Ovis aries: one gene and its partners. The protein of the gene in region 1 interacts with the protein of each later gene in a pairwise test. Links are inferred from orthologs where the notes say so. Each region holds a gene or a part of one and is shown in the gene's direction. Other genes may lie near its edges. The genes, in order: TRIM54, ARHGEF5, FAM110A, TSHZ3, KLHL38, OTUB2 and AIRIM.

Region 1 (3,500 bases):
CTTAGCCACTGGACCACCAGGGAAGTCCCTTTTCTACCATCTTTACAAGAAATTCTTGAGGGTTAAATTCAAGAATGTATGGAAAACCCCTAGCACAGTGCTTGACATATAATAGGTCCTCAAAACCTGTGTTGACTGTTAAATAATGAGTACGGAGGAAGGGCGCAGTGAGGGGCAGAGGTTAGAAGAAGCTTTAGGAGTCTGTCTTTGCTCTGGGGCAAGACTTTAGAATATGCCCCCTGGACTTCCCTGGTGGTCCAGCGGTTAAGAATCCACCTGCCAGTGCAAGGGACACTGGCTGGATTCCTGGTGTGGGAGGATCCCACATGCCACAGGGCCGATGCGCCACAACTATTGAGCCCAAGCTGCAACTACTGAAGCCCATGCACATACAGCCTGTGCCCTGCAACAAGCGAAGCCACCGAAATGAGACCACCACACACCACCACGAAGAGTGCTCTGCCCTCTGCAGCTAGAGGAACCCAAGTGCAGCAGTGAAGACCGAGCGCAGCCAAAAATAAAATAAAATAATTTACTTATATAAAAAATAATATGCCCCCTTTCCTCCCATTCAGACACCAAGCATATTCAAATGCTTGCCACCAGCAAATCAAAGAGAAGCAAGATTCCAGGAGTTTGCAGGTTTAGAGTTTTCCTGACACCACCTTGCTCACTTGGATTCTAAATACTGAAAGATAACTGTATCAAGCAAACAAAAGCCCAGTGATCTCACACTTTAACCCAGTCTTTAAGCTAAACTTAACAATATTCACACAATTCCAGTTACTAAGAAGGATTTATGTTTACTTACACAAACGCAGCCTTGGGATAATCTCAAGCTAATCTTTTTAGCTTTATGATGGGCTAAAATGTTAACTTACAATTTTCAAGAAATCCCGCCAAGGGCTTCCCTCAAGGTTCAGTGGTAAAGAATCTGCTGGCCAGTGCAGGAGACTCGGGTTCAATCCCTGGTCCAGGAAGATCTCACATGCTTCTGAGCAACTAAGCCCATGCGCCACAGCTACTGAGCCTGTGCTCTAGAGCCCGGAAGCCACGACTCCTGAAGCCCAAGCACTCTAGAGCCCGTGCTGCGACAAGAGAGGCTTCTCGGCTTCTGCGACGAGAAGCCTGTGCATTACAACTAGAGAGTAGCCCCTCTTGCCACAACTAGTGAAAAGCCCACACAGCAACAGAGACCCAGCAAACCCCCAAATAAATAAATAGATTAAAAAAAGAGAATCCTGCCAAAATGTGATAAGGATTTGGAGAAGTTTATAGAACCCAACTGTGGGAAATACATCTAAACACACAAAGTCACAGATGACCATCCTCTCCATCACTCTCTAGGAGTGTTCTTCCAGCCAATTAGGATTAGGTTCAGCTGTGAAAGACAGAAAACCAAAAATAACGGTGACTTCAAGTAGGTAAAACTTTTTTACTCTCCAGTGAAAGTGGGCAGTCCAGTTCTGCCTCATCAGAGACTCCTTTTATCTTGCCGTTCTCAGCATGTGGCTACTGCCTGGCTCTAGATGGCTGCTTCAGCCTACGCCATTTCATCTTCATTCTAGTCAGCAGGAAGGAGAAAAGAGGAGAAGTAGGGCGTGCCTTTCACATTGAAGATACTTCCTAGAAATTGCACAAAACATTTCTATCTATATCCCATTGGCCAGAACACAGTCACCTCGTCACACCCGGCTGGAAGGGAGGCTTGGTTGCATGGTCTTTATCCCAGGTGTCTTACTAAAAATCTAAGGTCTCTATTATTGAAGAAGAAGAAGAGGTGAATGTTGAGGAACAGCAAGCAGTCTCCACCTGTCTTTCCTCTCCACTTCTCTCCCCAGATCGATTCTTTCTCTTCCCTGCAGACCAGGCTTCTCTGTTCACAGTGTCTGACCCCTCACACTGCCCACTTGTACAGATTTCGGGATGGCCACAATGTCGGCTTTTAGCTCAACTCCACCGATCTTTTTTCAGTTCAAAAGCTGCACATGGTCTAGTCACGTCAGCCTCTGTGTCTCCATTCCAATTTCCTAGAAAGAAAAACTGATTGGTCCTATTGGGTCAGGTGACCGATCATGTCCTCAATTCTGAGCCAACGCTCTGTGGCCTCAGCCATGGCAGGGCTCTCCTTTTTAGGACAGGATGGAGCAGGTCCTCTCAGGGGTATAAATGGGAGGAACTGTTGATCCCATCTGGTGAGTTCTCCTTCCAAGCTTCCTCCTGTCGTAACACCCAGCCCACTGGATGGAGCTGTGAGTTTGCTCCTCCTGAGGGCAGGGATAGTCATCTTTTCCCCAGAGCCTAGCAATTACCTGGCACACTTAATATTTGTGGTAGAGTGAATAAACCAGTCTCATCCTTAATTGTGCAGAGGTTGAATGCTTGCCCAGACATGCACAGTAGGCACTACAGGAACAGCATGAGAACCCAGGAGCCCTGGTTCCCTGTGCCTGGAGAGATTTCCCTGGATTGCCTGACTCTACGTGTCTGCTCTGTTGTTCAGCATTTGTCTCTGTGCCCCTGCCCGGGGTTGCAAAGAATCTCCCCCACACGTGGCCCACGAGAGCCCTAGGCTGGAGGCTATGGGCTGCACCACTCAGGGTCCATTTCCCTTCTCAGTCTTCCTGCTGAGGTCAATGTCTCCCCACAGCTCCAAGCCGGGCCCCTTTGAGGAGGTCTTGTCCTGACAAGGCCTGATCAAGCTAGGCTCTGGATGCAGCAATACTCAAAGGGGTGGGCTGAGTAACGACACAAAGGTGGGAGAGATTTCCATGGCCACCCACCTGGGGCTGCTCTCAGAGGAGCACCCAGCCATAGAAAAGAACTTCCTTGGTGGTCCAGTGGTTAAGACTATGTGCTCCCAGTGCATGGGACACGGGTTCAATCCCTGCTTGGGGAACTAAGATCCCACATGCCATGCAGCACACCATGCCCCCCCCCCCCAAAAAAAAGAGCTGCTGCCTCCCCCTCCATCACTGTCCTACTCCCCAGCCCTGGTGACTTTCTCTCCCACCCCCTCCAATTCCCCCATAACTCACTGGGCCTTCCTCTCATGCTCTCTGCACCCACAGGCCTCAAACCCTCTGTGGCAGTCCCGAAGCTCCACCACTGTGTCTTCGGGGGGCCGTTTCCGCTGCCCATCTTGCAGGCACGAGGTGGTCCTGGACCGACATGGTGTCTACGGCCTGCAGCGGAACCTGCTCGTGGAGAATATTATCGACATTTACAAGCAGGAGTCCTCCCGGTGAGCTGTTAGCATCTCATTTATCTAAAATGCAGGGCCTGGGACATAGCCAGGGAGCCCATCAGGGCCAGCAGGGAGAAGCTGAAACGATCAACCTGTCCCTTCAGTTTAGTGACGAGAGGAGTGGACCTCAGAGAAGGAGGGACTTGCCCCCAGCTTGGTAGGTCACCAGCTCAGGTGGCCTCTGATTCCCGGTCAGCGCTTCCCCTTCTTCACCTGGCAGGAGCTGGCCATTTATCAGCAAGGTCCCTGCCAA
Region 2 (3,500 bases), on another chromosome or scaffold:
CAGGGAGGACTCGTGAACTCAGGGGATCAAGGCAGGCCAAGGCCTGATTGTCAAGAGTGGACCGTCTCCACCCCGCCTTCTGCAGGACGGGTCTCCTGGCCTCCAGCCACATGCCGGTCAACCCACCCTTTGGCTTCCGTCGGCAGGTGTAAGAGTGATGCCCCCCCGGGCCTCGCTTTCAGTAACATGACGGCCCTTCTACACCCATCTTCCCCAACCACCCCATGGACTCCAGAGGTCCAGCGACCCACCTCTGAACCCGGGCTCTCAGAAGAGTCTGAAGCCCCTGCCAGAGGGTCTTGGAGAAGAACAGCCCCCCAGGAAGGAAGCAATGGCCTGAGGAAGTCAGAGGTAGGCCCAGCGAGGCAGCCAGAGAAATCGGGCCACAGCCTCCTGGAGAAGGCATCGAGCTGGCCCCATCGACGGGAGCCGAGAAGGCCAGCGGAGGATGGCAGTGAGGCGGTGGTGGTCCCCGGTGAGGGGTCGAGTAAGCACAAGGACTGGCACCGGCAGGGCCTGCGAAGACCCTCCATCCTCCCCGAGAGCCCTGTAGGTGAGTGCAGAGCCTGGACCACGGTGACCTCGCCTCAGAGCAGACTCTGTCCCGCTCTCCCCTCCTCATCCATCTTCCGTCCTCCAGGCTCCTGCTGGTCCCCCTGCTGGCTTCCCTCACCCACGTACCCAGCCCCAAGCAGAGGAAAGTCCTCTAGAACGTCTCTGAGCTCATGGCGAGGCTCTTTCTTCTCCCCTTCCTTCTCTCTCGCTCTATTGCGGTGTGTACTTTTATAGTGCATCTCTGTTTTCCAGCGTTGTTCTGGAACCTTCCCCCCCACAACCCCCCACCGCCGCTGCATACCTTCATTACCAACACTTGCTCGATGCCCTTCCGCTAGCAGAGAAGGCATCTTCTGCTTGTCCGGTTCACACTCTGCCGCAATGGGTGGGGATAGATCTCAAATGCTTTTGACTTGGGCTCTTCCCTTTCTCACAGATGCCCAGTTGAACCTTGAACCCACCCCCCATGGCTACAACTCCCACTCTAGGTCTTAGGTTCCTTGACTCTGTCTGAACAGCCCCTCGCAATCTCACTTTACCCGTTTTCTATTTTCAGACACAAGAGGTCCCGCCATGGAAGGATCCCCTGGCCTGTTGGACGCCATTGTTTTCCGGTGAGTCACCCTTTCTCCCAGTGGGCACAGTTTTCTCTCTTTCCTAGGATACTGAGATTTTTATTAGCTGACAAAGGTGCTGAGACCGTGTCTTTTCCAGGCGTAGGGAGGGGAAGGGACTGACACCAGGATTCCAGGATAGGGAGATCTTTCGTCTACCCGGTTCTTGCAGCTGAATCCCAATCTCCCATCCATCTAGACCCTTGGGCCGTGAACTAAACCCTGCTGTAAAATTTCAACCTGACATCCATAAGAGTGTCGAACTGTGCAAAAGTGCGTCAGGCTACAGCTTGCCTCTCCAGAGGCTCTGGCTGTGATATTCTGGCACGTGTCCCAGTGGTCAGAGATTATCTTATTTATAGTCACTTGGGGCTTCTCCGTGTCTGATGGTCAGCAAACACCATGGAGCCCTTCTTTATCCCACAGGGAGAAAAAGCCAAAGGAGGTGATGGGAAACTTTTCAAGACGGTGCTCCAAGCTCATCAACTCCTGTGAGTACCTTAAAACAGGCCTGTGGACCCCCGTGAGTGTTCTGCTTGAGCCGGAGAGGGGTTCATGGTCATCAGCGGTGGGACTTGGCCATCTGTAGGAAGAAATGCCAGGAGACCACGGGGCTTGATGACCTATCTCGGAGCCTCAACTCCCCATCTCCCTAACTCCCTCCCTCTCCTGCACCTCTTCACCCCTGTAGCCCCGCTGCTTTACCAGGAGTACAGTGATGTGTTTCTGAACAAGGAGATTCAGAGCCAGCAGCGGTTGGACAGCCTGACGGAGGCACCGGGGCCCATCTCGCTCCAGCAGCCCCGAAAGGCCCTGGTCTCCTCGGAGTCCTACCTGCATCGCCTCTCCATGGCCTCCAGCGGCTCGCTGTGGCAGGAGATCCCCGTGGTGCGCAACAGCACCGTGCTGCTCTCCATGACCCATGAAGACCAGAAGCTCCAGGAGGTACCACCAGGCGGGGTGGGGCAGGGGCTGCGGAAGGGAAAGCAGGGTCTCCTCTGTTCACGCCCGTGTCTCCTACTCAGCACCCCCACCACCACCACGAGCGGGCTGTCCCTACCACACTCACCACCACGACACTGGGTCACCCCCAGCTTTCTGGGCTCAAGTTGCTCTGTGAACATCACCACTCTCCCTCCTATCTACCTCCTTCTCGCTCCATCAACCATTTACTGCTCCATGCTATTGGTCTGAGCTCATACAAAGTGACCGTGCCCCTGAATTTGATGGGAGGAGTATACACTCAATCTCATTAGTCTAGCTTCAGGCTAGACTTAAATTTCCCTCTTCAACCAAAGGGTCAGCCTACACCGAAGTTTTCCTCTTCAACCAAGACGCATGCAGGGGCTTTTTGGTATTCCCTTGGTGAGTGGCCCTTGCAGCTGTTCTGTGGTTCATGGGTCTCAAAGAGGCTTTTGAATGACCATCAGGCTCTGCTTGGTCCTTCCTTCCAACAGCAAGACTACAGTAAAGGCTGTTGGTCTCATGTTAAGTTACTATCATTAATATATTTTACATGGAGCACTTATCTTAAAAATCAATCTAAAGTATGGGTTAAATCTTTCTTCCTGGAAAGACGATATGGCACATTGGAAAAGCATTATGGAACAATGTTTAAGCATTAGGTTCTGGCTTAAATGACCTGGACCCACTTTAATATTTGCCAGCTATTTAACTTAGGCCGAAATATTGAGCTGGCCAAAAAGTTCATTCAGGATTGTCCATAAGATGTTATAGAAAAGTCCAAATAAACTTTTTGGCTAGCCCAATACTTGATCTTTCCAAGCTTCTGTTTCATTTGTAAAAACTTGGTTGCAAAGAATTCCTGGGAGAATCAGAAAAAGATAGATTCTATTTACAGCATTTATAGCAGTATAATTTACAACGGCCAAGACAGGGAAGCAACCTATAAGTCCATTAACAAATGAAGGGCTAAAGAAGATGTGGTGTGTATACAAACAGACTCACAGACATAGAAAATAAATTTATAGTTACCAAGAAAGAGTATGAATTAGGAGCTTCGGTTTGGTAGATGCACACTACTATATATAAAATTATAAACAAGGACTAACTGTGTATCGGGGACTATATTCAATATTTTGTAATAACCTATAATGGAAAAGAATCTGTAAAAGGATATTTAGGTGTGTATGCATATGTATGTATCAGTCAGTTCAGTTCAGTCGCTCAGTCGTGTCCAGCTCTTTGCAACCCCATGGACTGCGGCACACCAGGCCTCCCTGTCCGTCATCAACTCCTGGAGTTCACTCAAACTCACGTCCATTGAGTCGGTGATGCCATCCAACCATCTCATCCTCTGTCGTCCCCTTC
Region 3 (3,927 bases), on another chromosome or scaffold:
TGAAACATACTTTTGAAAAATTCAATCTTTCTTAGTGCTAAATATATTTTAATCATATCATTTTTAATGACTGTATAATATTCCTCAGCAAAAAGTGAGGATATTTAAAGGTACTTATCAGAGGGTTATGCCATGAGCAGTGATGAGAGTTTTGTCATGCAAAGCTTCTGGTATATATAAAAACCTCAATAAATTCAGTTCTTCCGCAGGATGGATTTATATAACCAATTTCCTTTCACTGAGCACTTAAGTTATTTTCATTATTTTGCCATGATAAAGAACGCAGGGCATATTAATCTTCGCTCACATCCTTAGTAAATTTCGGGACTGCTGGGCATGCCCATCTTCACACTAACTTGCTCAGCATTGAGCAGTTAGAGGAACAGACAGGAAAACTGGCTTGCACTGGTTCACATAGCCTGTCAGCTGAAGTCAGGACTGCTGCTGCTGCTGCTAAGTCGCTTCAGTCGTGTCCGACTCTGTGCGACCCCAGAGACGGCGGCCCATCAGGCTCCCCCGTCCCTGGGATTCTCCAGGCAAGAACGCTGGAGTGGGTTGCCATTTCCTTCTCCAATGCATGAAAGTGAAAAGTGAAAGTGAAGTCGCTCAGTCGTGTCCGACTCTTAGCGACCCCTTGGGCCCACCAGGGTCCTCCGTCCATCAGCTAAGTCCCGGGTGAACAAGAGAAAGAATTAGCCGCTTGAGCTAAAGGGGCTGCTCAAAGAACCTGAGACCACCGGGAAGCTGAAGGGCGGGGAGGGACTGAGAAGGCAGGGCGCTCCCACGCCAGGCCGAAGCTAAGCCGTTGCCTGGCAATGCGGGCGGCGCGGAGTTCGAACGGAAGCGAGAAACCAATCAGGATGTCCGGGGCAAACCATTCTGGTGTCGGGGAGGGGGGTGAAGCGACGCGCTCATTTCCCCTTCCCCCGGTGCCCCGGGGTTTTCGCTTCCCCTCTGTGCCCCCAGACCTTCGCTCTGTCTGGGACCTTGGGACAGTCAGGTTCTCCGGCTTATCTCGGGTGCGGAGCACAGCTCCGAAGAGGCCCCCGCGGGTCCTCACGTGGGGCTTGGGCCTCCCGAGCCGTGTTGGGTGCGGCCATTCCCCGCCTGACTGGGTCCGAGCTGTCAGCCTCCTCAAGACCCACACTGGAGGAGCGGGACTCGCCTAGGCGAGGCTCCTTGTGAGGGCACGGGTGGTCCGGGGCGCGAACCCGGGTGTAAGGGGGCGCTGTATTCACCCCTGCGGTGCGTGTTCTCTCCGAGTCCTACGAGGGTACCCCATTTCACAGATGAGAACGCTGAGGCTCAGAAAGACGAAGTCTGGCAGAGAATCTGATTCAGATCTTTCTGCTCCATCTCGCAGTCTCTAGCATAATAGTTCTAGATTTGCCTTGAGAGACCCTGACAGGTAACTGGTGGTCGCTTTCTTAGCCTCTGATCAACAGGAGCATGAGAGCCCTGGCTGCATCCGCTCCAGGCTGCCTCTCCCCAGCGTCGGCCTGGGGTCTTCTCCCCACCATCTGTCTTCATTTCTCCAGAAAGCCAGGGGTGGACTTGGGGCTCACTTGAGATCCTTCAGCTTGCAGGGCTCTGAATTACAGAGCTCTCCCTCTCAGAGAGAAGATACGGGTGGCTCAGGCAGGACTGACATTTCTGAGCTAGGTGCCAGGTGGGGAGCAGATGCTTTGGCCCTGGAATTGCTGTAGGACTCTTGGGAATCTACTGCGGGTTGGGCAAAAGGGTAGGCACAGCCCTCAGCCAAAGACGCTAGTCACCAGAGACACTGGACTTGGTCCTGGGCCCAGGACCGCTCCTGGTAGAGCATCTGACCTACACCAGGCCTTACCTCCTGGGGAACCCCCTCCCCACCTGCTGGTTGCTATGGGTTTCCTTTCGTAGGTGGGCAAACTGAGGTTCTAAAAAGTTAAGCCCCTTTGCCCAAAACCACATGGTCAGACTTGGCAACTCTGGGGCTGGTTCCCAATCTGTCTGGCTTCCATCTTAGAATCCTAGACACTCAGAATTGTAGCATCTGGGAGTCTAGAATCTCTTCAAGGGGAATTATTTATCCTCTCTCCTCCAAACCAGTCTCCTGGCTTTAAAGGGAGCAGAGCTCTGGAAATTCAGAAAGAAAACAAGTCTTCATTCTTTCAACAAATATTTACTCACTTCATATGCTCTGCCTTGTCTATTTTGTTTTTCTCAGTAGCATTTACCCCATCCAATGTCCTATAATTTCACTTATTAGCGAGTTTATTATCTTCCCGGACTGGAATGTGTTGCAGGGAAGGGTTAGGGTGAGGTAAATGAGGTAATCGCCTCCAGTGTGAAACTGAGGGGTGCCCAAAGCCCTAGGAATCAAAATGACTAATGCTAACATTTATTGATCATTTTTGTGTGTTCTGCTGGTGGGAGATCAACTCCCTGGATCACAGTCCCTCATCTCTGTCACAATTACACATGCACCCCCTGACCTAGCTGTCCCACTTCTGGGCAGAATGATATAGGTGCAGTGAGCCCACAGTGTGGGGTTTTTGGGTTTTTTAAGGCTCTGCCTGAGAACTCTTTTATTTATTTGTTTATTTTTGGCTGGGCTGGGTGTTCGTTGCTGCCTGGGCTTTCTCTAGTTGCAGGCTTATCATTGTGGTGGCTTTTCTTGCTGTGGATCATGGGCTCTAGAACTTGGAGGCTTCTTTTGTTGTGGCCTAGTTGCTCCATGGCACGTGGGATCTTCTACCAGGGGTAGAAGCCATGTCCCCTGCATTGGCAGGCAGATTCTTAACCACTGGCCCACCAGGGAAGTCCCACAGTGTGGTTTTTAATAGAGACTAGACACACGCTCAGTGGCCATTGGTAGGGACTGATGGGCTCTTTATGTAGTACAACATATATTATTTTGTTAATAACATTATAATTAATAACATGCTAATAACATATTAAGAACATATATTATTCAATGAAAGAATAAATGAAAACAATGCACAGAACATGTTGCTATGTGTAAAAAAAATAGAATATATGTCCATTGTTGCTTGTATGTGCCTGAAATCTCCCTGGAAGGACATATAACCATCTGATCATAATGATTCTTGCAGGGAGGGGAACTGGGTGGCTGGGGATAGGAGTGGAGGGAGGTGTTTTTCTTTTTTTAATTTCCTTTACAGCTTATGAATCTTAAGCCATGCACATGTATCACCTGGTTGAAAAAATATGTGTGTATTATAGATTGTTTATCTAATCATGAGACCACTGCCCTGTCTATGATCTGTCATTAACTTTCTTGTGACTTTGGACAAGGTTCTTGACATCTCTGCGCCGAGAAAAGAAGCCATGATGGTGCGCTTCGGCCCAGGCAGAGGGCAGTCCGGGACAGGAAGTGGGCTTGGTTGTGGGTCTGTCCCAACTCCACCTTCCGCATCCTGTGTGCCAGGCCCTTCCCTAAGGCTTTGCGCGCAGTATCTCTCTTAGTCTGCACTGCGAGTCCCTTTGTCCTCATTTGGCAAGCTCAGGTGCAGACCTGAGGCCCAGAGGACTGAGTTGGTGGAGGTGTGCAGTTGGTGGGCCAAACGGGAGATTGCTGCCTTAGGCAGCTGCACCCACACCGCTTCTGTGGCCTGTTTACCTTTCTCTTCCTGAGGTTTGTGCAAGGTTGCCCTGGGCAAGGCTGACTGCAGGCAGGCCAGGGCACGAACATCTGGGAAAACTCCAGAAATAGTGTGGGGCCTGGCGTGGGCCTGGAGGATGCCCAGCTGGGTGTCTCTGGCCCTGGCAGCTGTCCTGGAGTCTTCTGCTGCCTGGAGCCTTCCTGGCTCCCTCTGGGGCAGGAGAGGGCCTCTCTGTCTCCACCGAAGTCTGGGCTGGACTTCTGCTAAGGAAAAGGAGAAGCAGGTGGAAGGGAGGGGTGAGGTGGAAGTGCACAATGTCATA
Region 4 (2,524 bases), on another chromosome or scaffold:
TCAAAAACTTGGACACCGGCCACCCTGTGTTCTTTTGTAATGACTGCGCGTCACAAATCAGGACTCCATCCACGTACATCAGCCACCTCGAGTCACACCTGGGCTTCCGGCTACGGGATTTGTCCAAACTGTCCACTGAACAGATTAACAATCAGATAGCACAAACCAAGTCACCATCAGAAAAACTGGTGACGTCCTCCCCCGAGGAGGACCTGGGGACCTCCTACCAGTGCAAACTTTGCAATCGGACCTTTGCAAGCAAGCATGCAGTTAAACTTCACCTCAGCAAAACACACGGGAAGTCCCCTGAGGACCACCTTCTGTATGTTTCTGAGTTAGAGAAGCAGTAGCGTTTGCTTTTGATTAAAGTGACTGTAATTCGCTTTGAGGGAAACTGTTGCAGGCACCTTAAGGCCCCCCTGTCTTGTTCTTGGCACATGTTCTTATTTTAACTGCAGAGAATCACTCTGGGCTGGACTGTTTTGTATAACTGTACAGTGTTTAATAGAGGTGCATACTCAGCTGTTGTTACTGGTAAAATATGAAGGTTAAAACGCAGTGGTAAGTGTTTGGAACTTTGTGTAAATGGGATTTAGTTGTGAGCATCCCCTGATGCTTCAAGCTGCATGCATTAACAGACAGTTTAATTAAGCATTTATGACGAAACCGGGCACACTTTTCCACGTGGCTCAAGTGTGCTGGCATTTTTCACCCTTTCATCTTTAGCCCTCTGAGTACTTTGAAGCACTTTTGCATTAATTTGGTTAAAAAATAAAATAATAATAATAATGTATGAAGCTCTGTTTTTTAAACTCCTTACCAGCTTAGTTATAATTAATAATATGAACCTCCATTTATGCAGGTCTGCAGGGGTATAACACGCCTTGAAATTTAAAAGAATATTATTTTCACATTGAAACATAGATGTATATATTGTATAGATTTCAGACTCTCTTATGAAAAATGTGATTGTGGGTAAATGACCTTTTTTCCTGCATTTATAGCAACAGTGTTTTATGTACCTGCTATGCTCTGGGCATAAGCTGTGCCTATGTATAGTGTATATTTCTTTTTCTTTTTTTTTTAAGGTCTATGGGTTTTGTTTTTTACATGCAAACATTGTAAATTATACAGAAGATACCACAGATAGCATTTATAAAGTATACAGAAACATTATCTGAAAGCAAAGTATGATTGTTTGTTTTGCTATACAGTACATCTATATTGATAGAGGTTCACGTTTAAATTATACATATTTATTAGCATCATATTATCATTTGTTTTGAGCAGTCTGAATAAACGAGGCCAGGAGATCCATCCATGGCAGGCATCATAACTATTTTGCACATTATTTTTAAAGGTATTTATTAGAAATCAAAAAAAAAATGCTCAAAATAAACTCAGTGCTCAAAGGGTTAAGTCTATTTGAAAAGGAAAAAAAAAGAACAAAAAAAAAAGAGAGAGAGAGAACTTGTACTGTATTTCCTAAACATTGATAAAGCCTTTAAAATGTTTGTACTGTAATACTTTGCTTAAAAGTCACGAGGCATTCTGTGATACAACCTCTTTTACTTATTTATAAGCCCTCTTGGTTGCTGTTCCATATTGTAGGACGCCTTTTTATTTCAATTGGTAACTTTCTGTTTTGTTCTTCCTAATTATTCTCCCAAGATCCCACACTGCAGCTTTATCTTTAGGCTTATGAAAGGTAACCCGTGGTTACCGGCTCTCCAAGTGATTCTGTTCTTCTCCATTTTTGGCAGTTAATTTGCAGAAGTAACTGACAGCTGACACCATATGAGAACCTATGTATAAAATATTGGCATGTAAACAGCACAGACACTCTGTGCCCTGTTTTGTTGTTGACAATGAACCACCATTATGTGACTCTTCATATAACCCTCTTTTCTACGGCAGCATTAAAATTGTCTTTTTGCTATAATTTTGTGTTGCGTTCACAATTATGTCTGAAATGTGCTACGACTAACGAGCACATTAAAATTAAATTGTATGCGATCTGTTTATGACTGAGTTGGTTGCTGTGTCTGCCAGGTGCTGGCAGTCGGAAGCCGCCCGTAAATCAAGGGAGTTTTAGTGAACTTTGGGCTTGGAGAGCAGCGAGCATTCACTCAGAGGCGGCGTGGACAGAATTTTCCCCAAGAATAAAAATGTAAAAGAAAGGAAGATGTTCCCGTGGGGTTAGATTCTTGCTGGGAAGGCGATGTTATCAAGTATCCGTAGTGGAGCTTCGGTCACACCTGGCGACCCGCATGGGGGCGGGAGCTGGGTCTCCCATCTGGATGAGAGAAGTCCAAGTCAGGGCCCTGAGCCCTGCCCATGGCAGATGGGAGGAAAGGTTTTTGGAAGGCTCGGTGCAGGGCGATTCCTTCCTGTTGATTTGGGATTTTCAAGGAGCCCAGCTGGGCAGGTGGGCTGGGCATGCTCTCTCTTCTGTGCTAAAGTGAGCGCAGATAACGAGGTGTCGGGGGGCGGGGAGCCTGAACCCATCCACGGGAGGAGTGGG
Region 5 (3,934 bases), on another chromosome or scaffold:
TGTGGTGGTGACAGGGTGGATGTACTGGAGGGAGAGACAAGGAGCGAGGGTTAGGAGCAACTGTTGCAATAATCCCAGCAAGACTTGAGAAGGAGAGAAAGCCAGGCTTCCCTGCCATCATTCACTGCTGGTACCCTCAATCAGGACCTCCCTGGACGGAGAGGCAAGATAGATTCAGGGTCCCTTTAACTCACCCTGGCAGCTCTACAGCCCTCCAGAATGGCTCTAATTCTTATATTTGGAGATTGCATCCTACTCCATCACCATCAGCATTCTCCTTCTCTTCTTCCTCCCCCTCCTCTTTCTTCTCCTTCCTTTCATCCTCACTCACTCACTCACTCTCTCTCTCTCTCTCTCCTGCCCACACTCTGCTCCTGGAGCAACACAGTTTCCTCCTTCCTCTAGCTCAAGCCTCTCTGATGGGAAAAATTGGAAAAATAAAACAGAAAAGCAAGCCTGAAATATTTTTTTTTTAATGAACTGAAGAACAGTCAGCAGGGCTCTGGTGAGAAGCAGGTGTGACCCACAAGAGTACTGCCCCGGCCACTTTAAAACAGAAGCCCCTGTGATAAGGAGGATCCACAATGCTTTGGTCTCCCCCAAGTCTGGAAACCCTGGGGGTGCTCCACAAATATCTAAAACAATTTTCATCACAGAGACCATCACCTTGGAGCTTGGAGGAGGAACTCACAGCCCTTCTCCAACAATCCTGCCCGCAGACAGTAGGAAATAGAGACCAACTGAGCAATGCCCTTGGGCCCCCATGTTCTGGCTTCCCTGTGACCATCTGCCACCTTAAACTCACCCAGAACTATCTTCAGTGACTTTTCCCAGGTCACAGCAACCTGTTTACAGACATCTAGAATTCCCAGGCACTTTTAGGACAAGGCATTCAGGATGTGTCCAAGTGGGCAGCAAAGTCTTGTCTAAGAGAAGTTGTTCCTCCAAATCTATTTCTGCCCATGTAAACATCTGCCAAGGAAACAAGGCATGTGGGCATGCGCTGGGCCCACAGGCCCTCGGGTTGCTGCAAAAGGCAAATGGAAAGTCACATGTCATAACAGTGGAAAGTACATACGCAACTATTCTTAGCCCTGGAATGTATACACGGTCTCTCTGCCCAGCAGTTCTTTCACAAAGCTCTAGAAAACTGTGAAAGCGCCTTCAGCATAAACAAATCCAGAATTCTCCCAGGACAAATTATTTGCCAGCTTAAGGAAAGGCCTGGTTTTATGGTTTCACTTGGAGCCAGAGGTGGAAAGTCTCCGGAGGGACCAGCCGCGGCAGGTATCGATGGTTTTCACTGCAGGAAAACGAGGTAAATAGCTCTAATGTTTAATTCTTCTGCAGGTGAACGGGTGGCCAGATGTCATCCAATAAACCCTGCCCAGGGTACCGTCGGTCTCTGCTTTCTATTTATCTCATTTTAAAAACAAAAGCCACAAGACTCCGTGAGGTCATGTTTAAAAATAAAAACAAAACATTGCAAAGATCCATTTCCATCCCTCATTTCTGTCTCGATACCAGAGGCCACGCCCCCAGCATGACATCCGTGGGGAATGACTAACACCCGGAAAGATGTTTGGATGAGTTTACTAAGTAAGAGATATGCTGAGAATCCGGAGAAAAGTTCACAGACTTATGCTTCAAATGCACAGACTGTCATTTTGCTTCAAGCTAACGTTTTAGCCCCTGTAACCACTTACCACCTTCAACTCTCCCAACTTACCACCTGCTCTCTCTCTCTTCTAAATTTTTTTTCTTTTCTTTTCTTTTTTCAGATTGTCTGCAGATGCTATTTCTCTGTTACCTCTGAGAATAATCATAACCAAATAGAGAGATTTTCGCTGAGGCCCGTACACTAGGTGGTCCCATTTTCCAGTCTTCACTAAGGCGTATTCTTGGTGGTACCCACAAAGAGCTTAGTGAATGGACAGATAGATGTGCTGTAAGTCTCGGAGCCGCCACAGCTTAACCCTCCAGGACGACCTCCTTCTTGGGACTTCTCCCCGTCTTTACAGGATGGACATGGAGTCATCAGAGGGGCTCCTCTTCAAAGACCATGACTTCTCCTCTGACTTGCTGAGGCAGCTCAACGACTTGAGGCAAAATCGGATCCTGACCGACGTAAGCATCTGCGCCGGGGCCCGGGAGGTCCCCTGCCACCGCAACGTGCTGGCCTCCAGCAGTCCCTACTTCAGGGCCATGTTCTGCAGCAACTTCCGGGAGAGCCGAGAGGCCAAGGTCCAGCTGAAAGGCATCGATGCCTCGACTCTGGAGCGAATCGTCCTGTATGTGTACACGGGTGAGGCGCACATCACTGTGGAAAGTGTCCTGCCCCTGATGGAGGCCGCATCCATGCTGCAGTACCCCAAGCTGCTCGAGGCCTGCTCCTCCTTCCTCCAGAGCCAGCTGAGCCCCAGCAACTGCCTGGGCATGACTAGACTCTCTGAAATCTTCAGCTGTGAGACCCTCCGGAAGAAAGCCAGGGAGGTGGCCCTGACATATTTCCCAGAAGTGGCCGCGTCGGCTGACCTGAAGGAGCTCTGTGCCTTGGAACTGAGAGACTACCTGGGGGACGATGGGCTGTGTGGGGAGGAGGAGAAGGTGTTCGAGGCCCTCATGGTTTGGATCAAGCATGACCTCCAGACCCGGAAGCGATACGTGCAGGAACTGTTCAAGCAGGTCAGGCTGCAGTACGTCCACCCGGCCTTCTTCCACCACTTCATCGCCAACGACGCCCTCCTCCAGTCTTCGCCCCCCTGCCAGACCATCCTGGAGACCGCCAAGAGGCAGGTGTTTTCTCTGTACAGCACCGCTAGTTCTGCGGGCCTCCAACCTCTGTGGCATGTCCCGCCAAGAAACTCTTACCAAGACTTCCTCATCCTCTTGGGTGGAAGGAAGGACAACCAGCAGACCACCAGGGATGTCCTGCTGTACGACGGACAGACTGGCCGGTGGCAGAGCCTTGCCAAACTCCCGGCCCGCCTGTACAAGGCCTCAGCCGTCTCCTTGCACCGCGGCATCTACGTGCTGGGGGGCATGGCTGTGGGGAAGAGTGTGCCCAGTGCCAAGGTCTACGTCTTCTCCCTGAAACTGAATCAGTGGAGGCCAGGGCAGCCCATGCTGGCGGCCCGCTACTCCCACAGAAGCGCTGCCCACAAGAACTTCATCTTCTCCATCGGGGGGATTGGTGAGGGGCACGAGGTCATGGGCTCCATGGAGAGATATGACAGTGTCGGCAACGTCTGGGAGAGGATGGCCAGCATGCCAGTGGGGGTCCTCCACCCTGCGGTTGCTGTGAAAGACCAGAGACTCTACCTTTTTGGGGGAGAAGACATCATGCAGAATCCTGTGCGCCTTATCCAGGTAAACAGTACTTCCCACCATACAAGTGCACACACACACACACACACACACGTATGCATACATGTATCCAGGTAAATGGTTCTTCCCACTATGTCTACACACACCTACAAACAAGCACATTCATGCACACACACATATGTACAGATGCATGCATGACACATATGCTCACACGTGTGTGCACTGCATGCACACGCATGTATACATGTGTGCATGTGCAAACACATGTGTACATACACAGATACATGAATACACACATACCTATGCACATATATGCGTATTATACATGCTTGTTAGTTGCAAGGGAAGGATAAAGGAGGAAGGGAGGGAGGAAGGAAGGAAGTTTAATTTCAGCAAGATCTTATCCATTTATGAATTCTTTTGGGTAAGGTCAATACATACAAAGGTACATCAGATACCTCTAAAGGATCTAGCTGCTACTGCTACTGCTGCTAAGTCACTTCAGTCATGTCCGACTCTGTGTGACCCCATAGACAGCAGCCCACCAGGCTCCCCCCTCCCTGGGATTCTCCAGGCAAGAACACTGGAGTGGGCTGCCATTTCCTTC
Region 6 (3,500 bases), on another chromosome or scaffold:
GGTCCATCCATGATGGTGCAAAGAGAAATATTTCATTCTTTTTTGTGACTGAATATCTCCATTGCATATTATACACCACATCTTTATCCGTTCACCTACTGATGGGCACTTAGGTTCCTTCCACATCTTGACTATTGTAAACAGTGCTTCAATGAACATAGTGATGCTTGTATCTTTCCTAAAGAGTGCTTTTGTTTTCTTTGGATACATACCCTGAAGTGGAATGACATATGATAGTTCTGTCTTAATTTGTCTGAGGAATCTCCGCACTGTTCTCCTTAATGACTACACCAGCTTATAATCCCATCAGCAGTGCACCCCAGGTCCCCGTTTCCCCACATTCTCACCAATCTTGTTAGAAAGTGAGAGTTGCTCAGTTGTGTCCAACTTTTTGTGACCCCGTGGACTGTACAGTCCATGGAATTCTCCAGGCCAGAATACTGGAGTGGGGAGCCGTTCCCTTCTTCAGGGGATCTTCTCAACTCAGGGATCAAACCCAGGTCTCCTGCATTGCAGGCAGATTCTTTACCAGCTGAGCCACAAGGGAAGTCCCACCAACCTTGTCATTTGTCTTTTTGATAACAGCCATTCTAACAGAGGTGAGGTGATACCTCATTGTGGTTTTGATTCCCTGATGGTTAACGGTGTTGAAAATCTTCTCATGGACCTGTTGGCCATCCATATATCTTCTTTGGAAAAATATCTGTGCAGATCCTCTGCCCATTTTTCAATTGGGTTGTGTGTGTCTTGGATGTTGAGTTGTATGAATTCTTTATATATTTTGGATATTAACTCCTTATTCAGATATATCATTTGTAAATATCTTCTTCTTTTCAGTAAGTGGCCTTTTCCTTTTGTTGAAAGTTTCTTTGCTGTGCAAAAACTTTTTTTTTCTAAACAGGAATATTCATAGTAACTTTATTCATAATAGCCCCAAAGTGGAAACAACCCCCAAATCCATCAACTGACAAATGGAACAAAATATGGTATACTGTACCATAGAATATTATCTGACAACAAAAAGGAAACAAGTACTGATATGTGGTACAACATGGATGCTTCTTAAATACATTAAGTGAAAGAAATCAGTCATAAAAGACCAATCATATGATTCCACTTGTATGAAATGTTCAGAAGAGGTGAGTTTACACGCACAGGAAACAGATTCCCAGATGAAAAGCTTTTTGTTTTAATGTAGTCCCATTTGTTTGTTTCTGTTTGTGTTTTCCTTGCCTGAGGAGACAGATCCCCCCAAAATACAACTAAGACCAACGTCAAACGGCATACTGCCTGTGTTTTCCTCTAGAATTTTAATGGTTTTGGGTGTTACATTTAAGTCTTTAAACCATTTTGCATTTATTTTTGTGCACCGATGTATTACAGTCTATAAAATGAGTCAGTTCAGAAATTACAAGATGAGGGACTTCCCCGGTGGTCCAGGGGCTAGGACTCTGCACTGCCAATGCCAGGGTTCCAGGTTTGATCCCTGGTCAGGGAACTAGATCCCACATGCCACAGCTAAGAGTTCATGTGTTGCAACTAAGACCCAGCACAGCCAACTAAGTAAATATTTCCAAAAAATTTAAAACGAAAGAACTTACAAGATAATAACGCCTTTCACAATGGGGCTGACCCTGACTCCTGCCGGGGACCCTGGCTTCTGGGCTGCTAGTCACATACTCGCAGGTGCTTCTGTCCAGGGGAGGTAACATCCTGCAGCCAGCACGTGGTGGGCTTTCTATTGGTTTTCACCTGCAGTTGCTTTTGAAATTGTCACAGCTTTGCTCCTTTTTTCTGTCTTTCAGAGTGAAACATCTTTCAACCTAATATCAGAAAAATGTGACATTCTATCAATTCTTCGGGATCATCCTGAAAACAGAATCTACCAGAGGAAAATCCAGGTAAGGCAGAGGGTCAGGAGGAGGGGAGCCTAGATGAAATGGGCTGGAGTTGGGAGCAGAGACAAAGGTACCACTTTGAAGGTAAAAAGGCTTTGCCTTTGGACCAGGTTCCTGGACAAATTAAAGGCCTCCCAGAATAATGCAGTGTTGAGCATATTTACCTTAGTGAGAAATCCTTTAGTTGCAAAAAAAACCCCAAAAAACCCCAGCAGTTTTTGACCTCATTACAGGATTGCAAGGTCAGGACTTTTATTACCCACATTTCACAGCGGAGGGAACCAAGTTACGAAAATTAAATGGCTGGCCCACAATTCTACCGCGCATGTGTGGAGGAGCCGGCACTTGGGCCGAACAGCCTCAGCTCATAAAAGTAGTATTTGTAACCACTCTGTGAGCAGCTCTCTGGTGAGAAGGCCCACTCTGGCTGGACTCTGACAAAGGAGAGATGGCTGAAGGATGCAGGAACGGTTATGGGACTAGGAGGAACCTGGGTGTCCCCCTACTGCCCTCTGGCCACCTGCATTTGGGCAGGACTGTCTCCTGTGGCCGCTGGGAGCCCTTCCTGGGGCAGGAGTGAGAGCTGGGCTGCACATCTCATCCTCTGGGAGATGAGCTGGCTCTCCAGGGAGCCCTCCCTACAGCCTGCCTCTAGGGGGCTGTCAGCTCCACCCTGGTGGGAGCAGGGACTCCCTGATCCCTTAGAAACCACACTGGGCCGTCAGAATCCTGACCGTAGGCAGGCCCGGGAGGCAGCCGCGGCAGAAGCTGACAGCTCAGAGCAGAACTGGAGCAGGTGCCATGGGGACGCCACACTTCTTAAGAACCGCTCGGAGGACTGGCCAGACTGCTTGGCGATGTCCGAGGAGGCCTTTCCTACTGCCTGTGCAGCCTCCTGGCCCACCTCACAGCCACATGCACCCTCGCTGCCCCCACCAGGCACACCACTTCTCTCGGTGCGATTCCTCCAGGAAGTCTTCCTGGACTGCTGAAGTCTGGTGTAGATGCCACTGCTCCGCAGCACCCTGGTGCATCCCCTGTCCTCCTGTGACAGTTGTCCAACCGTCCATCATCCCCCTAGCCTGTAGGCTCCTCAGAGCGGGGCACGGCTCCCCGTTCACAGTGCCTCCTGCAGGTCGCACTCCACGTATTTTTATTTTTGTGGGATGAGAGTTGGGACACCATGGAGGGCCTCCAGTCTGAGAGGAGGGAGCAGATGTTGCCTGGGGGAGGTGGAACCCCACCCCTGACAGGACTCGATGGGGGTTCTGTTGGTACGGACACCCACATTTCCTCTGTCCCCCACAGGAACTCAGCAAAAGGTTCACCGCCATCCGCAAGACCAAGGGGGATGGCAACTGCTTCTACCGGGCCTTGGGCTACTCCTACCTGGAGTCTCTGCTGGGCAAGAGCAGGGAGATCCTCAAGTGAGTGCCGTGTGAGGGATGCCGGGCGGGCTGTGCTTCTGCTGCGTCGATTGGCCCTGAACCTCCCTGAGGGTTTGGTCTCAGCGCAGCCTGCTTAGCCCAGGGAGTGAGTTGCGGCATTGACATCGAGGGGATGCCCAGCGGCCCTCGTGGTGGAAGTGAGGGCAGCCAAGGG
Region 7 (4,082 bases), on another chromosome or scaffold:
GTTATCCTTCCATCTGTGCTCTGGTAACAATCTATTCATTCATTCACTTTTAAATGGTTAGATAAAACACCACCCCCCTCAAAAAAAGAGTATTTCATGACACATGGAATCTGAAATCTGTCAAATTCACATTTCAGTGTTTCCATAAATAGATTTCTGTTGGAAAACAGCTATGCCCATTCATTACAGCTGTTTTTGAACTATAACAGCATGAGTAGTTTGGACAGAGAACCTTCTGGCCTACAAAGCCTAAAATACTTATTATCTCCTCCTTTAGAGAAAATATTTGCCTGCCTGCAGAGGAAGATGAGGGAAAGTGCTAAGAAGAAAAGCAGGGAGGTGAGACGGATCGGGGAGGAGTAGGCCTGCAATTTCCTTCTAAGACCTCATTGAGAAGATAAAAGCTGCCATGGTAACCACAGAAGGGCTCCAGGCCGAGGCCTGGGGAAAGACCAGGAGCTCTTACCGAAGTATTCGAGCCAGTTCATTTCGCGCAGCGCCTTGGGGAGTCGCAGGATCTCAATGTTGTACAGGTTATCCAACTCTTTGAGGAGGTTCTGCCTGTCTGACTGAATTTGCTTGGATCGCATTTGCACTGCGAGAGGGCAGAGAGGACACGGCACGGGTCACCCCGCGGGGAAAAGGTTCCCGGAATCCCTGCTGCCCGCGTCCCAGTCCTCCAGCACCCCGCGATTGCCCCCAAGTGACCGCGACCACCCGGGCTCCGCCCCTCACCTTCACGGTCGAAGTCCTTAAGAAAGGAGGCGAGCTTTCGGTTCCGCAGCACATTGGTCTTAGCCACCCGACTGCCGCCCTTCCTAGACGGAGCCATGGCCCTTCGATGGAGGCTGCGGGGAGCTAGGGGCGGAGGCACAAGGCGTCAGCGGCGGAGATGGTGAAGGAGAGGGGGCCGCAAGGGGGCGAGGGAGGGTGGAGGGCCCCCCTGGGGGTTTGAATTGGGGACCCCTGCCCTTCCGGGCCCGAGGAATAAAGGATTCGCGAGGCACCCACCTGCAGGTTCTGAAACCCGGGCTGAGGAAAAACCCGGCTGCTTCAGCCGAGAAGGAGCCGCTCCGGGACGAAAGCGACGTGAGACCGCCGCCACCAAATTCAAACTGCCAAAGGCTGGCCAATAAAAAGCCGCCGTCTTAGGAGGGTTTCACAACAGCCAATCACAGAGAAGCTTCGCAATTGGGCAGCCAGTCCACACGTAAACTACAGCACCCAGAAGGCATTGCGGTCCGACCGCATCTTTTTCGCGACTCTGTAACCACGTCTGGGCATGCGCAGAGACACAGCGGAGGTGTGCGGAGTCTTGGAATTTCCTTAAAGTGTTATTGCTTTAGTTTTGTTTTCCCGCTGGTTTAGAAGAGCGGCCGGAAACCTCAAGTAGAGGAGATAAGATTCTGGCTCCGGAAGCACGGATCGGCCCAGTGAACCTTCAGTCTGAAACTGCCCTAAGCCAAGGGGTAGGTTGAGCCTCTCTGAAGGTAAGACTCGCGCTAGAAACACCTGTCGGGAGGGATGGACGGCCCTACATGAGCAAACTTTGTTTAGCTGGACCTCTCTGAGAACGGAAATAACTCCCACCCTTGACTCGGCCCTTTGCCTGTCGACTTGGGACCCTAATGATATTTGTTTTTTCCTGGGTTTTGTTTTTGTTTTCACCCCTACAATAGAAGATGACTGAAGATCAGCCTTTGCTTGCCGTGCAGGAGGCCCTGAGGAAGTGCTTTCCTGTGGTGGACGAGCAGCAGGGCCTGTGGCAGAGTGCTCTGAGAGACTGCCCGCCCCTCCTGGCCTCCCTCAGCAACCTGGCAGAGCAGCTGCAAGCCACACAGAACCTGCGATTTGAGGATGTGCCCTCACTTCGGGCCTTCCCAGACCTAAAGGAGCGGCTGAGGCGCAAGCAGCTGGCGGCTGGTGACACTATCCTGGACAAGCTAGGAGAGAGGCTGTAAGAGGCACAGTGGCGCTCTTTCTTGGCCTAGAGATGTTAAAACTGGGTATTTAATAATCTAGGATCAGTGAGAAAGGGGGTTTTTCTCCTTAAGAGAATGGTATTTGGGGATGTGACAGCCTTACCCCCTTTCCATCTGTTGCAGTGGGACCTCTCTCTGTCAAAAAACCATTTTCTGGCATTTCCCTTATCAGCTAGGCATGACAGTGGTGGACTTAGTAAAAGTTACCAAAGCAGAACAGAAAAGCAATGGAGAAAGCTCATTGACCCTCCACTGTAGTTTTCCTTAGGTAGAAAGCAGCAGGAGTTACACTGTAAACTTAGTAGGTGCCAGCAGCAAGGATTTTACATACATTATCTCATAAAATCTTTTCAACAACTGTGACTTAACCTCACTTAATCCCATTTTTCAAGTGAGGAAACTGAGGCTCACGCAAATTGCCTGTGCTCAGGCAGTTAGTAAATAGTAAAGCTGGGATGCTCATCCGAGTGCCTCTGGCACTGGGGCCAGAAGCTCCTAACCACCGCTTTGTTCTGCTGTACATTGGTGTCTGAGCGAGGAGAAGCACCAATGTTAGGCCTTCGATCTTAGAATTACAGGTAATTGGGGATAGAGAAGAGAGAAGGCACATATGGCCTTCCCTTAACCAGGATGAAAGAAGGTTCTAGTGTGTAGGGTTTGCCATAGACTGATAGGAAACTCAAAGATGGGGGCCTTCTTTGTATTTATCTGTACTAAAAACATTAAGAACCCATGGGATGCAAAACACAGGTGCTAGGAATACAATGGAGAAGGCAATGGCACCCGACTCCAGTACTGTTGCCTGGAAAATCCCATGGATGGAAGAGCCTGGTAGGCTGCGATCCATGGGGTCTCAAAGAGTCGGACATGACTGAGTGACTTCACTTTCACTTTTCACTTTCATGCATTGGAGAAGGAAATGGCAACCCACTCCAGTGTTCTTGCCTGGAGAATCCCAGGGACAGGGGAGCCTGGTGGGCTGCCGTCTATGGGGTCGCACAGAGTTGGATACGACTGAAGCGACTTAGCAGCAGCAGCAGCAGCAGCAGCAGCAGGAATACAATAGTAAGGCCGACTTAGTTCCTAAGTTGAGTAAAAGAGTCAGTTAAGTTAGGTCATTATACATTCTAAGGTAGCGAACTTTTATTTCAGTTGATTACATGTTTTTATGTGGGTATTGGGCTGTTATTTTTAGCCTAGTTTTTATTGTGAGTCACAGTCAAACTTGAAAGCTGCAGTTCTAGGCTAGGGAGTTCCTTGCCCTTTGGGAAGTTGTAGCCTTCGTCTTATGGCTAGACCTCTTGGAGTCACTAATGGAATAATAACTTTTAAAATAATTATATAATAATTTTTAAAATAATCATGTAAAAATAATAAAATTTGCCATAAGCTAGGTACTTCCCTAATGGCTTAATATGCATTATTGTATTTACTCTTCACAACAGTCCTTTTCATTCACTGGACAAATGTTTGTTGCTTTGTCGGCCAGTCTCAGTGTTTTAGGTACTTAGGATGCACAGTGAACAAAAGAGACTTGTTTTTGTTCGTGATTGAGAATAAGTAACTTTCCTGAGATCGACAATAATCTGTGTGCGTCAAGAGCTCAAATTTTACCCATTCAGGAATTCACGAGGGTGGGGCACGATATAGCATGAGCGCAAGACTGCTCTATTGCTGTAGTTTCCTCTTGCTAATTCCTTTCACATATGTGGCCTTAGACTATGTGTGAACATTTCCTCTCCTTTATGGGAGTCCCAGAAAGCCTGCTTGGTCTTTACTATCTTTGGCAGCTGGGCCCATCACACAGCTTTTGAGAGTGATGTAACTTCAGCCTCATCATCTTTAAGTCAATTCTTAATTGTTAAGCCACCCCTCCATCCAAGGCACCTGGGACCAGTAGATCTCCTTCGGAGGCAGTTTTTCCCATTGGGATGTGTGGCAGTATCTGGAGACAGTATTGATTGCCACAGCTTGAGATGGGTGGGGACATAGTTTGCTTTTGTCATCTAGTAGGTAGAGGCCCAGGTTGCTGCTGAACAACCTACAACCTACAGTGCAGCCCTCCACCACAAAGAATCATCAGGTCCAAGATGTTCTTGG

Evidence for each region.
Region 2: the proteins of TRIM54 (region 1) and ARHGEF5 interact in binary tests that used the Homo sapiens proteins (3 or more experiments, as listed by UniProt). The two-hybrid records come from large-scale screens. The link is inferred for Ovis aries from reciprocal best matches to the Homo sapiens genes TRIM54 and ARHGEF5.
Region 3: the proteins of TRIM54 (region 1) and FAM110A interact in binary tests that used the Homo sapiens proteins (3 or more experiments, as listed by UniProt). The two-hybrid records come from large-scale screens. The link is inferred for Ovis aries from reciprocal best matches to the Homo sapiens genes TRIM54 and FAM110A.
Region 4: the proteins of TRIM54 (region 1) and TSHZ3 interact in binary tests that used the Homo sapiens proteins (3 or more experiments, as listed by UniProt). The two-hybrid records come from large-scale screens. The link is inferred for Ovis aries from reciprocal best matches to the Homo sapiens genes TRIM54 and TSHZ3.
Region 5: the proteins of TRIM54 (region 1) and KLHL38 interact in binary tests that used the Homo sapiens proteins (3 or more experiments, as listed by UniProt). The two-hybrid records come from large-scale screens. The link is inferred for Ovis aries from reciprocal best matches to the Homo sapiens genes TRIM54 and KLHL38.
Region 6: the proteins of TRIM54 (region 1) and OTUB2 interact in binary tests that used the Homo sapiens proteins (3 or more experiments, as listed by UniProt). The two-hybrid records come from large-scale screens. The link is inferred for Ovis aries from reciprocal best matches to the Homo sapiens genes TRIM54 and OTUB2.
Region 7: the proteins of TRIM54 (region 1) and AIRIM interact in binary tests that used the Homo sapiens proteins (3 or more experiments, as listed by UniProt). The two-hybrid records come from large-scale screens. The link is inferred for Ovis aries from reciprocal best matches to the Homo sapiens genes TRIM54 and AIRIM.

Annotation. Positions count from the first base shown.
Region 1 is NC_056056.1:34,374,736-34,378,235, forward strand, and holds part of TRIM54 (tripartite motif-containing protein 54), read left to right. Parts: exon of another isoform or gene 1-528; intron 529-3,071; coding exon 3,072-3,244; intron 3,245-3,500. UniProt on the Homo sapiens protein: May bind and stabilize microtubules during myotubes formation.
Region 2 is NC_056057.1:108,786,036-108,789,535, forward strand, and holds part of ARHGEF5 (rho guanine nucleotide exchange factor 5), read left to right. Parts: coding exon 1-553; intron 554-1,111; coding exon 1,112-1,169; intron 1,170-1,595; coding exon 1,596-1,660; intron 1,661-1,860; coding exon 1,861-2,114; intron 2,115-3,500. UniProt on the Homo sapiens protein: Guanine nucleotide exchange factor which activates Rho GTPases. Strongly activates RHOA. Also strongly activates RHOB, weakly activates RHOC and RHOG and shows no effect on RHOD, RHOV, RHOQ or RAC1.
Region 3 is NC_056066.1:59,933,525-59,937,451, reverse strand, and holds the start of FAM110A (protein FAM110A), read left to right. Parts: upstream 1-1,127; 5' UTR 1,128-3,927.
Region 4 is NC_056067.1:41,338,294-41,340,817, reverse strand, and holds the end of TSHZ3 (teashirt homolog 3), read left to right. Parts: coding exon 1-350; 3' UTR 351-2,024; downstream 2,025-2,524. UniProt on the Homo sapiens protein: Transcriptional regulator involved in developmental processes. Functions in association with APBB1, SET and HDAC factors as a transcriptional repressor, that inhibits the expression of CASP4.
Region 5 is NC_056062.1:29,254,797-29,258,730, forward strand, and holds the start of KLHL38 (kelch-like protein 38), read left to right. Parts: upstream 1-1,134; 5' UTR 1,135-1,318; intron 1,319-1,781; 5' UTR 1,782-1,941; coding exon 1,942-3,369; intron 3,370-3,934.
Region 6 is NC_056071.1:56,431,910-56,435,409, forward strand, and holds part of OTUB2 (ubiquitin thioesterase OTUB2), read left to right. Parts: intron 1-1,805; coding exon 1,806-1,901; intron 1,902-3,206; coding exon 3,207-3,325; intron 3,326-3,500. UniProt on the Homo sapiens protein: Hydrolase that can remove conjugated ubiquitin from proteins in vitro and may therefore play an important regulatory role at the level of protein turnover by preventing degradation.
Region 7 is NC_056054.1:12,499,422-12,503,503, reverse strand, and holds the start of AIRIM (AFG2-interacting ribosome maturation factor), read left to right. Parts: upstream 1-1,282; 5' UTR 1,283-1,469; exon of another isoform or gene 1,470-1,490; intron 1,491-1,679; 5' UTR 1,680-1,682; coding exon 1,683-1,957; intron 1,958-4,082. Other genes in the region: CDCA8 (borealin), read right to left, coding at 467-595, 736-832. UniProt on the Homo sapiens protein: Part of the 55LCC heterohexameric ATPase complex which is chromatin-associated and promotes replisome proteostasis to maintain replication fork progression and genome stability.